Nothobranchius furzeri: one gene and its partner. The protein of the gene in region 2 purifies or fractionates together with the protein of the main gene of each other region. This does not show direct contact. Links are inferred from orthologs where the notes say so. Each region holds a gene or a part of one and is shown on either strand. Other genes may lie near its edges.

Region 1 (6,649 bases), on a different chromosome or scaffold from region 2:
GATGAGTTTGAACAACTTTTATTCCGTTTGAGTTTGTTTGGATAAAAAGATCCATAAAAATAATAAAGAATTACCCAAAATATTTTAATGCGAAAAGAAAGTCAACTTCATCCATTTGAGAACTATTAAAAGTTCAACTTTAATTTATCATAATTTATTTCCTGCAGCAATAAATAAATAAAAGCGTGACTAAGTTCTTGTCACGGTTTGCCCTTATAAAACCTTTTAATTTATTATTTTTCCTTTAACGTAAATAGAGACCTCGAATCAGTTTTTTTCTGTTCATTGAAACATTAAAGGCAAGTGAAATTATCTAAACACACACACACACACACACACAACTTTTTAGCAGCAATTAAATATTTCATGATTTTTTTTTCTTTTGTGCAATTTTAAACTAAAAAACTAGTTCATTTTAGAAAGTCACAATCAGCACATAAATATAAAAAAATCCAGATTAATTTCATGTAACTGAATCAATTTATAAGCTACAAATGTGTTAATTTTTTTCAAATGTGACAATTAAAGCTTTTTATAATTTTAGTATTGAAATCACATCTGAATTTGATTTGAAAATTTTGTCACTTTTCTAACTCGTCATTAGTCAAAAGATCCCGGATAAAAAAGCCTTTTAATCTGAAACATTTTCCATTTAGTCCATAGAGTTTTATTTTAATTTGCTTTATAAAATAACATTTGAAGTTTGTGTTTTAATGTTAATGAAAAGCTTTTGTTTGAGCCTGTTGGGTTTTTGTGGGGAGCTCGTACCACCACATGCAGGCCCAGGAGAGTCCGTTAAAGTTATAAATATTTAGTGTCCACATCTAAATGTCCTTCAGGCACAGAGGGCTTACCTGTCCACTGTCCCTTCCAGGTGTGTGAATGGGATTTAGTGGTCTTCATCCAGGGAAAAGGAAGCTGGTATCTGTTCTGATCTCCCGTGTCTCCATAACCCAGATTCTGGAGCGGGGACAGCTGGAGCCCCTGCGGGTGGTGCAGCTGTGGCACACCTGGATCCTCCCGCATGGGCACACTGTAAGTGGGGGCGATGTCCAGGCTGGCCTGCTCCAGGGCTCCCAAGGCCGGCGGTGTGTAGACGGAGTGCACGGGTCTGCTCATGTAGAGGCAGGGTGGAGGGCTGTAGTCCTCCCCCTGTGGTCTCTGGTAGACACAGGAGTCTTTAAACACCTGAGAGGGGTAGAATTGATCTTCTCGATTCATGGCTGGAGAGGAGCGGAGGTTACAGGGGGGCGTTAGACGCGGACATGCACCCTGTTCCTGCCGCCCTTCCTCGGTGTGGACCTTCGGCTCCACCTGTGGCGCAACTGCAAGGCCCCTGCTCCACACAGGTGTGTCACTCAGACATCATGTGACCCCAAGGCGCCCAATTCATTGGCTCCAGTGTTTGCTCGGAATGACAGCGCCCAGTTTCCATGATATTCTGCAGCTTTTCCCCCTGAGTTGAACAGAGCAGTGCGTAAAATCGGTGCCAAAACGTTCACATACACCAACTCCGAGTGGAACAACAAAAATTTGGATACTTTCTTCACGCAGGACTCTCGTCCACAGACATGGAAGCAATCGACATTTTATGCGAATATGAGTCTTGTAAATCGATACTATGGGTGCAAACATTGGGTTGACCTGCGAGATAAGGCACCCGTTGTCTTGGAAACACACCTTAGTTTCCACAGCCTTTTATTTTAGTCCAGCTCTTTCTGACGTTTAAATCTGTCCATTACACTTTTCTAAATGCATCATTTAACACCATTTTTGCGCGCGCTGCCTCAGACGATAAAAAAAACCTTGGCGACGACAAACACAACTCTGCTGCACTCTCCTCGTGTTTGCTGGCCATTAATCTTTGTGTGTCCTCGCCCCATTTAACAATAGCCCTCTTGGTTAGTCAATTATCATGAAGAGACCAACTGAACTCAATTAACCGCCGTGCGCGTTTGGAGCGCGCGTCTCCACGGCCTTTTACGCACGACTTTCAGACGCATGTTTGTCACGCGGGACGAGCCGGCTTTTATTTTGATAGTCTGCGCAGCTTCGATAGACTATTTGCACTCAGATCTTCAAAAGCAATTATAGCACTTTCCAATGAATCTTAATGGCAGCACTCAACGGTGCAATAAAGTCCAGGTGAGCCATTTCTATGCAAAACACCCCCCTGCAATATGGCCTAATGGCCTTTATATTTGATCATTGTTGTAAAGAGGAAGGAAATTGTTAACCCAGGCTGTTCCATATGTGATTTATGAGGCGTGTTGCCCGTTAAGAAGGGAGGCAATCAGAATCAGACACTTTCGTCCCTGTAAAGTTGTAGAAATAATAAAAGACAGTGGAGTCAGAAAAAATGGAAAGATTTAATGGCCATCTGCCATCTCAAAGTGAGGACAATCACACAAAATCAACAGATTGTTCCTGAAACAAAATAAATGAAATGTTTTTTAGCTTTTTCATTGAGTAACAAACCAGTTTTTGACGGCATGTCAAAAAATGATAAAACATGCTTACTCTGTGGCGACAGCAGCGTGGCCTATGTAAACATCATGACACGTGATGAATAGTAATGGCGTTATAATAGAGATTAGGTCCCCCTCCTGTGACGAACACGGTTACACCTCATCATGAGTCACGAGAGAGACTGTTTGACCTCATTCTGTTGCATTTTATTGGGAAAAAAGAAAATAATCTACCAGTACGTCCAAAGAGACAAAACTCACTCTATTTCTCTGTAAAATGATATTTTAAATAAAGTTTTTCTCTTTTAAACACAAAGCAAACAGCAGCACCTCTCAGTCGGTTATGAGCTCCTGAGACTAAAAACAAAGCCGGTCCATTCATGAAGTCTGAATCCGTCTTTTTTTGTCTCTTTTCTGTCCATCGGCATGTTTCCGGTCTCTGTCGTCTTGGTGTCTGCTGCGTCTGTCCTTATCTCTGTCCGGCCTCTTATCTCGACTTGTGCGGCGGTCCATGTGAGGACGTTTATGATCCGAGGGGCCGCCAGTATTCCTGTGATCAGGCGGAGGCGTTCTGCTGCGGTCACGCTGTCTGTCCGGGGACTCGCTCCGAAGGCGTCCTCTTGTGGAGGAACATTTGGCTTGGGGTTCCTCTGTGCGCCGGTGCAGGCCCGTGGAGCGCAGGGTGTTGAGTAAGAAGCGTTTGTTGGTGCTCTGTAGAGGACACTTCAACCTGGAGAAAAATCCACAAACATCAGACACAGATCCAGAAAAATCCAGCAGTTGATGCCGAAAGAAGAAATTTAATTTCACAGATTCAATCAGACTTCAGCAACATGACTTTTGTGGGTGTTTTATCCCTTTAACTATAGAATAAAGAGGCTAAATAAGAAATTTTCACACATACGATTGAAATGCCCCAAAAAAACCTTTAATGTATATATATGATATAAGACCTCAAATTAAAATACCAACAGATAAGATAACTTTTAGTGCAAAACTAACATTTTTAGGAAGACACGTGGTGTGTTCAGATGGTTTAATGAGAACATGAGCAAAATAATCTAATATTTAAAATAATACTAGACACTAAGTAATTATCCAAAAAGAAAAAAGAAAAGAAAGAAAGCCAATCCACATGAGAGGGTCAGAGATATTTCAGAGCTCACCATCCTGCAGGACCCATGGTCTCTGCTCTCACCCGGGCTCTGTCAGTCTCCCTCAGGAGCTCCTCCACGGCGCGCCTAGACGGAACCGGACCCAGAACCAGGAGAATGAGTCATGAGACAAACAGGACAGAAATTCTGAGCAGATGTACAAGAAATATAAGATGAAAGTAAAGCGGACGTGTCCTTGTTTGACCCGAAATGAGTCTCATCACCAGATTGGACTCGCTACTTATGCCGACCTGAAACTACACACAACAGGCAGCTAGAGTCAACAAGTCAACTTTAAATACAGTAAACAACTCAGATCAGAACTACTAACAGACTGTTTTTCCGCAGCGTTACATTTTAGAGGGAAAATGTCTGCAAATGTGTTCAGACGGAAGTTAATAAAGATACATTTACTCACTTTTCTAGCTCATTTTCTTCCGCCATTGCGTCTTAATCACACAAAAACTCTTACAAATAAATAAAAACCTAATAAAACCTATAAATTTACGTTAATTTACGAGGCATTTCTTGTTCACTTCGCCGAGAGGTCCTTCAATCGCGGACCCTGTTTTTAGCTGCCCGGAGCAATGCCTGTTCAGTTGCAAAATCATGTTGAAAATAAGTTATGAAACCAAACTACATTTTTTATTTACAAGTAGATATGTTTGTGTATTATGTATTGATCTTTTTTAATTAAAATAATTGATATTTTTAAAAGTTCAATAAGTTATGGGGCACCCCTGGAAAAACATTTACAGCTGATTGTTTTAGCAACATTTGGCCACAAATAACTTTAAAACAAACATAGAATCAAACAAATATATAAACACACTTTGTTAAAAAAAAGGATTTATACTCAAATCGAAACGTAAAATGTGACATTTAAACTTGTACATTTTTTATTTGATTAAACATTTTCCATTGGGAACTAAGCCAACTTAATTCTTTGGTAAATTGTAAAAATAATTTAAATACATACAATGGCTTAATCAAAAGTAAAGTGATAGTTACAGAATATCATCAAGCAAGATATTTTAGTAATCTAGATTGTGATACATTAAAGGACAATAACAAACATTTTTATTTAGAAGTAATCTTCTTAAAGAAGACATATTATGCCTTTTGCATCCTTTTTGTGCCGCCATGTGCACTCTGCCTCTATAAACGCTCCAAACATGCCAATGTGTGGTTGTAGAAATGTTGTGCCTAAAACAAGCTATTTGAAATTGTCCCCAATTGTGACATCACAAGCAGGCCCAGTGCCAATACTCGCATTGCGCCCTGCAGTCTTCAGCAAAGTGCACTTGGAGAAAGTGTGCAGTAAGGCTTCGAGTGCGTGGACTACAACTGTGCAAATAATTGCTGAAGTGAGACAGGGAGCATTGCGTCATGAAACGCAACGCATGCCGAGATGCTGGTCCTGTGATACTTTTTCAAAAGCCTTTATTAACAACTTTTAAACAAACAACCCATTATTTGAAATAAATTTTAATTAATTGCTGCTTTGTCTAAAACATTCAGAGCATCAACTGATTGTCCCAAAACTAACTCATTCCATTAGAAAATATTCAGAAAAGGAACTTGAACCCTTTCTCCTGCAGCAATGACTTGTGGGTAATACACTTCACCCAGCACTGTAAGAATACTTTTGAGGCAGATAATTAAGTATATATTTGTTCTGTTTTTTTCTATTCTATTCTATTCTATTCTATTCTATTCTATTCTATTCTATTCTATTCTATTCTAATTTTTGTTCTGATCCTGTTTTTGAACAGGCGGTCGGTGTAAGCCACCTCTAAACTCAGCTCCGTAGACTCCTCCCATCACCTTTTGATTGGCAGCGGTGGGCGGGATCAGCGGCGCCAACGGTACGGGGGCGTTTTCTTGCGGGCTTGCGGAGCTCTCCGTCGGTTGCGGCGAATGCGTGATCGACGCCCCGCAGCTGATAATTGCTCCCCGCTTTGGGGCCCGAGTGGACGGCGCGGAGGAGCCGCCGGAAGAAGGTAAAACATCCATCACATCTGGAGACATCCATCTCCTGCATGAGCTGTGTCAGCGAGCGGGGTTGATGCTGTCGCCTCTTCTGTCCTGTCCTCTCGCGCCTCCGCTTCTGCAGGATGGGATGAAGTCAGACAGCTGGGGAGGGAGGTGAAAGAGGGGTGCGATGATTTTAATAACGATGTTGACTTAACCGGAATATGACACTGCAGTTTATGCAAGGCAATCTGGGACGACGACACCGGGAGGAGGAGAAAATGCTAGATTTAATCAAATCAGTGTCTGTTTTTGTTGTCACCCCTGCACGTCTGCCTGGAGAAAAACAGACAATTGAAACACACCTTGCAGGCCTCTTCTAAATAAATTTAAAAACATGGATGAAGAGATCGGGTCGAACGTAAGATAAACTTGAGTTTTAAAATCTGTGGCCTAAATTATGATGCCATTTCTGTTGGTTATTGCATTTCTGCACGTGCTAAAACCTTAGTTTGTCATTTGTGTGTAGACAAAATTCTGTCATTCGTTAATACAATACAAAGCATGCATGCATTCATACTTCTGCAGAGGACTATTGTCCTGAAAAAGATCAAAGTGCTTTGAGAGTTCTAAAATCCCAAAGATTATTTTCAGGGCCTGCTGGATAAAGCTCGTGTGCTTGTTTGCGTATGCGCGTGCAGGTTTACGCCTGCATGTCTACACGTCTGTGTGTGATGTGGTGATGTCACAGCTTTGTTACAGAAACAGAGAAGCCTTGTGTCCTCATGATTAATTCATGTCCAGCTGCGGGATAGAGACAGAAGCAGCCAGTCACACACAGACAGGAGCATGTGCTTGAAAAGGAGACAGAAATAAGGGGCTACTGGTCCCGTGGCCAAGGAGACGGTAGGGACAGGTTTGTCAGGAGACAATCTGTGCAGATCAAATCAAACGCAAGAATAGAAATGAACCGGAGGGACTTTCATCCTGCTCTGCGCAGTGTGACGAGCTTTCAGCATCTTGCTGGGAGAAGTGCATCTGTTGTTGCGCCTC
Region 2 (7,154 bases):
GCTCTGCAGTGAGGCTCCTAACTGGAGCCAACAGAAGAGCTCACATCACTCCACTGTGATTTTTATGTCAAAGGTGCAATAAAAAGAAGAAGAAACGATCTGTTCTATAATATAATCAAATAATAACAATACATGTAATCCAATCCAGTCCAAATTTATTTGCGTAGCACATTTTAAAAAGCATTTAAACCTGAAAAGCCATAAAATTCAAATTCACCTTCGTAAATAGAACACAAATATTACTTACTCATTAAAGGCTTATACTACTGGAGAACTTACTGGGTGTTCCTGGCTCATCCCTTTAGTTATGCTGCTATGTGATACTATAGACTTAGACTCCTGGAGGACACGATGACTCTCCTCACTCAGCTGGCTTTGCTCTAGATGTTTGTATTAACTGTTGCTGCTGCCATTAACTTTGTTCCATCTGGATTGGTCTCTGACTCTTTCCTGCCTTCTTAGACCCCAGTCAGTCCTAGTTCTGGTTCTATACCTTACATCTTAACAGCTCCAAACTGGAGGCTATTCTCTTTGCCCCCTGCTCCCCCTCTGCTGTGGAGCCCTCTCTGCCCCCGTCATTGTCAGTTTTGGTGAAGCCGACAATTACAAACTTGGGTTCACTCTGGACGTTTTTAAAATGGATGCACAGATAAATCAGGTAGAGTCAGGTCATGTTTCGTTCATCTTCGCCGGCTGGCCAAACTAAAATCTGTCCTGAACAAAAAAGATCTTCAGTCAGTTGTTCATGCCTTTGTAACATCACGTCTGGACTATGCCAACTCTCTCTTATATGGTATTCCCTCCTCTTCAGTGGTACGCCTCCAACTGGTTCAGAATGCTGCCGCAAGGTTTCTTACGGGCGTAGACCGACGGCAGCATATCACCCCTGTTCTGGAAAATTTACACTGGCTTCCAGTTCGGTTTCGGATTAAGTTCAAAATTCTCCTGTTGGTTTACAACTCTATTCATGAAATGGCCCGCTCCTATTTGGCACATCTTTTGAGTCCCTCTGTTCCGGCGCGAACCCTGAGGTCCTCTGACAGCACATTCTGCTTGTACCCCCGGCCCGTTACATGGCCCGTGGCGAACGGGCTTTTTCAGTGTGTGCGCCTAAACTTTGGAACCAACTCCCCCTGGCCCTGACGGTCCAACTCGCCCCCTCCCTTCCCACTTTTAAAGTACGTTTGAAGACATATTTCTATTCCCTGGCCTTCCCGGCTGAGAGTGTTTAACCCGTCTGCTTTCCTGTTTTTATTTTTTATAGTTTTTATTTGTTTTATCTATTTTGGTGATGTATTGTCTTATACAGCACTTTGGTTGGCGTTGTCGCCGTTTAAATGTGCTTTATAAATACAAGTTGATGATGATGATTAAATGAAGTGATGCTTCAGTGTGTTTGGACAAACCTTCTCATTCTCAGGGTTCAAGTTTCAAGAGGTAGTCCCTCAAGACTGTTGGAAAACCATTTCAGGTGACAACCTCTTGAAGCTCATCAAAAGCCAAGAGTAATCAGAGCGGTGATCATGGACGTAATTTTCACTTGAGAAGTGGGGGGGACACGGGGGGGGGGGGATCTTTACAGTATGCTCTAATGGGAAACAGGTTTCAACACAAACGGCTGTTTTCCGCTTGGTCTTAGAGCTCAACCAGTGTCAATTTAATATAGCGTAATATTGTTTTTGGATGGTAAAAAGTGCAGGGGTCAAAACTTGATTTTGGAAAAAGTGGGGGGGACATGTCCCCCCTGTCCCCCCCCAAAATCACGTCCATGGCGGTGATCAGAGCAAAGGGTGGCCTTTTTAAGAAATTAGCGCACAAAACATGTTTTCAGTTATTTCACCTTTTTTGGTAAGTGCATGACTCCACATGTGTTCAATCATAGTTTTGATGCCTTCAGTCAGAATCTATGTAAATGATCATGAAAATAAAGAAAACACATTGAATGAGAAGGTGTGTCCAAAGCTTTGGCCTGTACCGTAGGTGTGAGTGAGCGTGTGGCTGGGTATCTGTCTCCGTGTGTCCCCAAGACTCCACTCAGATGCAAGAAGTTCAGAAAATGAATGAATAATAAATTAGACTAGGATGGATGGATGGATTAAACCTGGTTTGGGTGCAGGTGTGTACTAGTGGACCTTTTCGTACTTACCTACAGATCTTTGTGGAGAACCAAGTGATTTCTCAGCAGAATCACAAGTTCCATCAGGCTGAAGTAACAGAACAATGAAGGAATGAGCAAGGGCAGATAGTTTCATACAAATAGAGGACGGGTTTATGGAATATGCAGAGCAGCGGGTGAGTGTTTACCTTCAAGTGGTTCTGCAGACTATTCTGGTTCTCCACAGTGCTGCCTGAATCCAGTTGAACCACTGAGAAGACCTTGGTCACCACAGAGCTCTGTCTGCCATCACTGTATCAAACACAGTTATGGTCTGATAAACAGGAAGTGATGCAGTGCTACTTTTATTCCTGTCACTCGTTATCAGGTGAGTGTTTACCTGGTGACAGCCACAGCTTTGACAGACACCCGACCAGCAGGTAGCAGGATGGGCTCTGTGTACTTCCTGCTGCTGCCAGCTGCCCCTCTCTGCCCCAGCTCTGGCTTCGACCCATCCAACGTATAGAAGATCAGCACACCTGCAGAGTCTGCACGCACAAACTGTTGTTTAGATCAGCGCTGCAAGGTGGCAAATTTAGCAGAAACCCCGATCAGCCTCGTCGCAAGACAATAATTCAACCACAAAGTATCTTCAGTCAGAAGTTTCTTCAGATCTGCTGCAACACAGAAGATCCGTCCTGTATCCAGCTAGAACCGGATAGAGCTTGCTAGAAAAAGCTGGAACCAGCTAGATCCATGCTGTGTGTGTGTGTTGTGAAATTAACAAAAGAATATGAATGGATGGATAGATAGATGAATGGAGGACAGAAGTGTGTGGTGTGTGTGTGTGTGTGTGTGTGTGTGTGTGGGGGGGGGGGGGGGGGGGGGTACCTGACTGGATGGAGACAGGTGTTGTGGTATCGATGTGCTTCTTGGCTCGATGAGTTGGCAGGTAGATGATGGGAATGATAAGTGGAGGTAAAACAGCTCCTGCTGCCATGGTAACGGATATCAACAAATCAGGAGATCAGGGTTTCTTCTTCTTCAGTTAAAGCAGAAAAGAAAACTTGAGTTTTTTGAGTCCTTGTTTTAAAAGTGCTGCTCACAAACGTCCAGCTAGACCGTCACAACTCACTGAGACGTGATGATATCTGAAAAAACAGGATAGCAATCTAATGTACTAAATAAGAGGTTATAACGTCTCAACACTGATATTAATCAGCTGTCAGCCATTAGACAGCGCCCTCCGCTGGCTACCGGTTTACCGCTCCCGTACCGCACAGTTCTTGTTGTGTAGCGGAACCGTTTTTACGGTTATGAGCTCAAGAATACAGACGCATCGAGCTGGCTGGGAGATGAGACACTTCTGAGAACTGCAGCGTTTATACAACGTCACCATGGCAACAGAGTCTGTCTGAGACGAACGAGTAAGCACAAGTGCCTGCCCCTCGGGGCTGCCGCGAAACTTTCTACAAGTTCACTCTTTAGAAGTTCCTAGAAATGACAGGACTAGCATCTCATGAATGTTTAGAGAAATTTTCTCCGCTTGGATTTATTTGAATGTAGGCACTGGTGTTTCAGTAACTCGTTTTATTTAAATTGTAAAAATAATATAAAAAGTGGGTTCAATTGAAAAACATTAAAAAATGAGAAGTAATTTTGAGGATTAAAATAAGATTTTTTTTGTCTTTCACTTAACCGCTCAACTGAATCTCAATTAATTTATTTTTGAACGGGCAGTTTTCCGGACACCTACCGCTGGGTAAACATCTGTAAGGACCCCTCCAGGGCAATCTTGATACCGCCTGCTCTGAGATTGATTGTGGCGGACCAGAATCACCGCCTTAACGGAGCCGCTGCTCGGACACGAGCCACACGACCGGTTCAGAATGGCGGAGGTGAAGGTGAAGAAGGAGATGAACCAGACGGAACCCGCGGAGGTGGAGAGCAGGTTGGAACGGACCGGATTCTGTGTCCATTCGGTCGATTTGAACGTTTCTCATCCACAATCTCTCACATATCGGTGACAAGTTGAGTTTGGACCCGTTTTCGGGACGGGAACAGGCTCACTCAGACTTCGGCATTCACTTCACTCGTTTATTTGTCAAAAGAAAGTCCCAAAGTAGACTTCATGTCTTCAACGTGGCTGCCAGATTTGCACCATCGTTCTGTTACACCTGTTTGCTGTCTTGCACACGGACAGAGGCATTGCTTTCATACATGTTAAATAAAACATAAGTTTGTTGCAAATAAGAGGAGAATTGGAGGCAGCTGATTGAAGCGAAAACTGCTTTAAAAACAAAAGTTAATCATACGTGAAAAGACGTTCTGATGTGTTTAAACTTGTTTCTGTGACCCAGGATCAAAGATCTGTGTCAGCAGTTTCCTCAAGGTATCACAGACCAGGTGATCCAGAACGACATGCCTCACCTGGAGCCTCAGCAGAGAGCCATGGCCATTAACAAGCTGCTGGCCCTGGTGGGTTCGAGGACCTGACCCATGTCGGTCTCTGTGATGCTGATGGATGATCTGAACTGGTGTTCTATTCTATTATAGGGTCACCTGGACCTTCTCAGGAACAGTTCAGGTCTCCTGTACAGACTAAAGGACTCTCAGATGTCCAGGTAAGACCTGAGATCTGCTCGCTGGCCCCTGTGTGGTTTGGTTCTGCCTCTCTGAAACGCCTTTCTGTGCTTCAGTAAGATGAAAGGCTCAGACAGCCAGGAGAAGCTGGTCTATCAGGTGATTGAAGATGCAGGAAACAAAGGTACCAACCTATTTATGTCTAGAAACATGCAGCTCACCACTAACGGATTAGAACATCACGGCTGTGTAATGTGGCTGCAGGAATCTGGAGCAGAGACATCCGCTTTAAGAGCAACCTCCCTCTGACCGAGATCAACAAGATCCTGAAGAACCTCGAGAGCAAAAAACTCATAAAAGCTGTCAAGTCTGTGGCGGTGAGTGCTGTCGGAACAAAAACGTAGCCGGTTCATAAACCAGAGCATTGCTTTCTAACTAGTGATCAAAGTGTGTGTGTGTGTGTGTGTGTGTGTGTGTGTGTGTGTGTGTGTGTGTGTGTGTGTGTGTGTGTGTGTGTGTGTGTGTGTGTGTGTGTGTGTGTGTGTGTGTGTGTGTAGGCATCAAAGAAGAAGGTTTACATGCTGTACAACCTGCAGCCAGACCGCTCAGTAACAGGTGGGGCCTGGTACAGTGACCAGGACTTTGAGTCAGAGTTTGTGGAAGTTCTGAACCAGCAGTGCTTCAAATTCCTCCAGAGCAAGGTACACACACACACACACACACACACACACACACACACACACGCGTGCACTAAAACAGCAGAGGAGCACAAAAATGGGTGTTCACCTCAGCAACAGCCTGAACTTGTCCACAAATATGGATGACTTCTGCAGTGGAAATCATCCAATGTGGGTTTTTCTGTTGCCAACATCTTGATTTTAATTTTTTTCCCACCTGCCTGCTAAAGCGCAGCTGATGCTCAACATTCCTGACCCTGTTGAGTCTTATTTTTGTACTAAACTGCAATAAAATCAAATATTTAATCAAAGTTATTCAAACAAGTCACCAAATTAATTAGGAATTAAATAAGGAAAACAGGTGAATAAAAAATGTTAGTTACATTAATGTTTTAGAGGATTTATTTAGCAGATTTAAATTAAATAAATTCAAATTTGGAGTAAAAATACAAAAGAGCTGAAAACACAAAAGCAACATCTAAAATGCATCCTGTCTTTTGTTTTTGATTTTTACCAATAATTCTTAAAGAGCAAGTCACCCCCAAATCAGCTTTATTTGCTGATAAACTATATAAATGCATGCCTAATCGTGCTGCAGACACGTGTAGTCAATAGTTTTGCACTTTAGTGCATTTTAGTTCAAATTTAAATTTTCTGCCTAAAACTGTCAGTGTAGTACCGTTGTCAGGTAAAAACTCTTCACTGCATTTGAATTTAAACCTGCCATCGCTATTGGCTAAGAGGTACCCTCAGCTGGTACTAGTGATGGAAGTTCCAGCTCTTTTTAGAGAGCCGGTTCTTTTGGCTCAGCTCACCAAAAAGAGCCGGCTCTTTCGGCTCCCAAGTGGCTCCTCAGATTTTCTGTTGCGTGGAGTACATTTATAACCAAAATGATGATAAACTATATGTAAAATAATTTACTAATGTAAAAAAAGCAATATATCAAATATTTATCATTTCTATGGATTTAATAACTGAACACTTTAAGAAATCTCCACTTTCCGACTGCTGGCGCTCATTTTCTCACCGTCTTCGTCGCGCTCTCCCCTCTCTCTCTCTCTCTCTCTGTCTCTGTCTCTGTCTCTCTCTCTCTCTCTCTCTGTCTCTGTCTCTGTCTCTCTCTCTCTGTCTCTCTCTCTCTCTCTCTCTCTCTCACCTTTTTCCTCCTCCTCATTCCCTCTCGTCTCCCTCCACCTGCATGTGCTCTGCTGTGTGTCTGAGTCTGATCCTCCCTCTTCCCCGCCCCTACTGCTCTGTGTGTGGACAGTCTGGACACACAGTTACACATGCTGACCAATCGCCTGTAGCTTTCACCAAAGCAAGAGGGAAGGGGGGGGGGGGGGCACGGCTCCCAATGATGAGCCGGCTCTTAGGGCCGGTTCGTTCGCGACCGACACATCACTAGCTGGTACCATATGATGTCACAATGTTGTTGTGAGCCTGTGTGTGTGTGTATTAGTTAGCGGCTCCGCCCTCTCGGTCTGCTAGGCAACAGCATTTGTTGCATTTTTCAAACAGGAAGTGGGAGTGGAGTTAGACTCTGGTAGGGGGTGACTTGCTCTTTAAGTTAAACTAAATGAAGCCTTTTAATGATCTTGGCTTAGCAGCAGCATCATAGCAACAAACCTCTCATCCCCGAGACTGAACTTTGGGTATCCGTGGATGTGCCTGACTTTAAACCGGCCTGAAGGATCTCTCTCTCTCTCTCTCTCTCTCTCTCTCTCTCTCTCTCTCTCTCTCTCTCTCTCTCTCTCTCTCTCTCTCTCTCTCTCTCTCTCTCTCTCTCTCTCTCTCTCTCT

The links.
Region 1: the proteins of polr3f (region 2) and si:ch211-140b10.6 purify together in Homo sapiens (affinity purification with mass spectrometry; 3 studies listed by BioGRID and IntAct, with this or other methods). This does not show direct contact. The link is inferred for Nothobranchius furzeri from reciprocal best matches to the Homo sapiens genes POLR3F and POLR1D.

The regions. Positions count from the first base shown.
Region 1 is NC_091747.1:51,105,072-51,111,720, reverse strand, and holds si:ch211-140b10.6 (protein POLR1D), read right to left. Parts: upstream 4,212-6,649; 5' UTR 4,067-4,211; coding exon 4,041-4,066; intron 3,710-4,040; coding exon 3,635-3,709; intron 3,199-3,634; coding exon 2,847-3,198; 3' UTR 2,351-2,846; downstream 1-2,350. Other genes in the region: pdx1 (pancreas/duodenum homeobox protein 1), read right to left, coding at 855-1,221.
Region 2 is NC_091746.1:29,574,696-29,581,849, reverse strand, and holds the start of polr3f (DNA-directed RNA polymerase III subunit RPC6), read left to right. Parts: upstream 1-3,386; 5' UTR 3,387-3,522; intron 3,523-3,835; 5' UTR 3,836-3,984; coding exon 3,985-4,046; intron 4,047-4,455; coding exon 4,456-4,573; intron 4,574-4,651; coding exon 4,652-4,719; intron 4,720-4,794; coding exon 4,795-4,862; intron 4,863-4,942; coding exon 4,943-5,055; intron 5,056-5,235; coding exon 5,236-5,379; intron 5,380-7,154. Other genes in the region: dzank1 (double zinc ribbon and ankyrin repeat-containing protein 1), read right to left, coding at 2,147-2,204, 2,305-2,407, 2,496-2,643, 2,987-3,095. UniProt on the Homo sapiens protein: DNA-dependent RNA polymerase catalyzes the transcription of DNA into RNA using the four ribonucleoside triphosphates as substrates.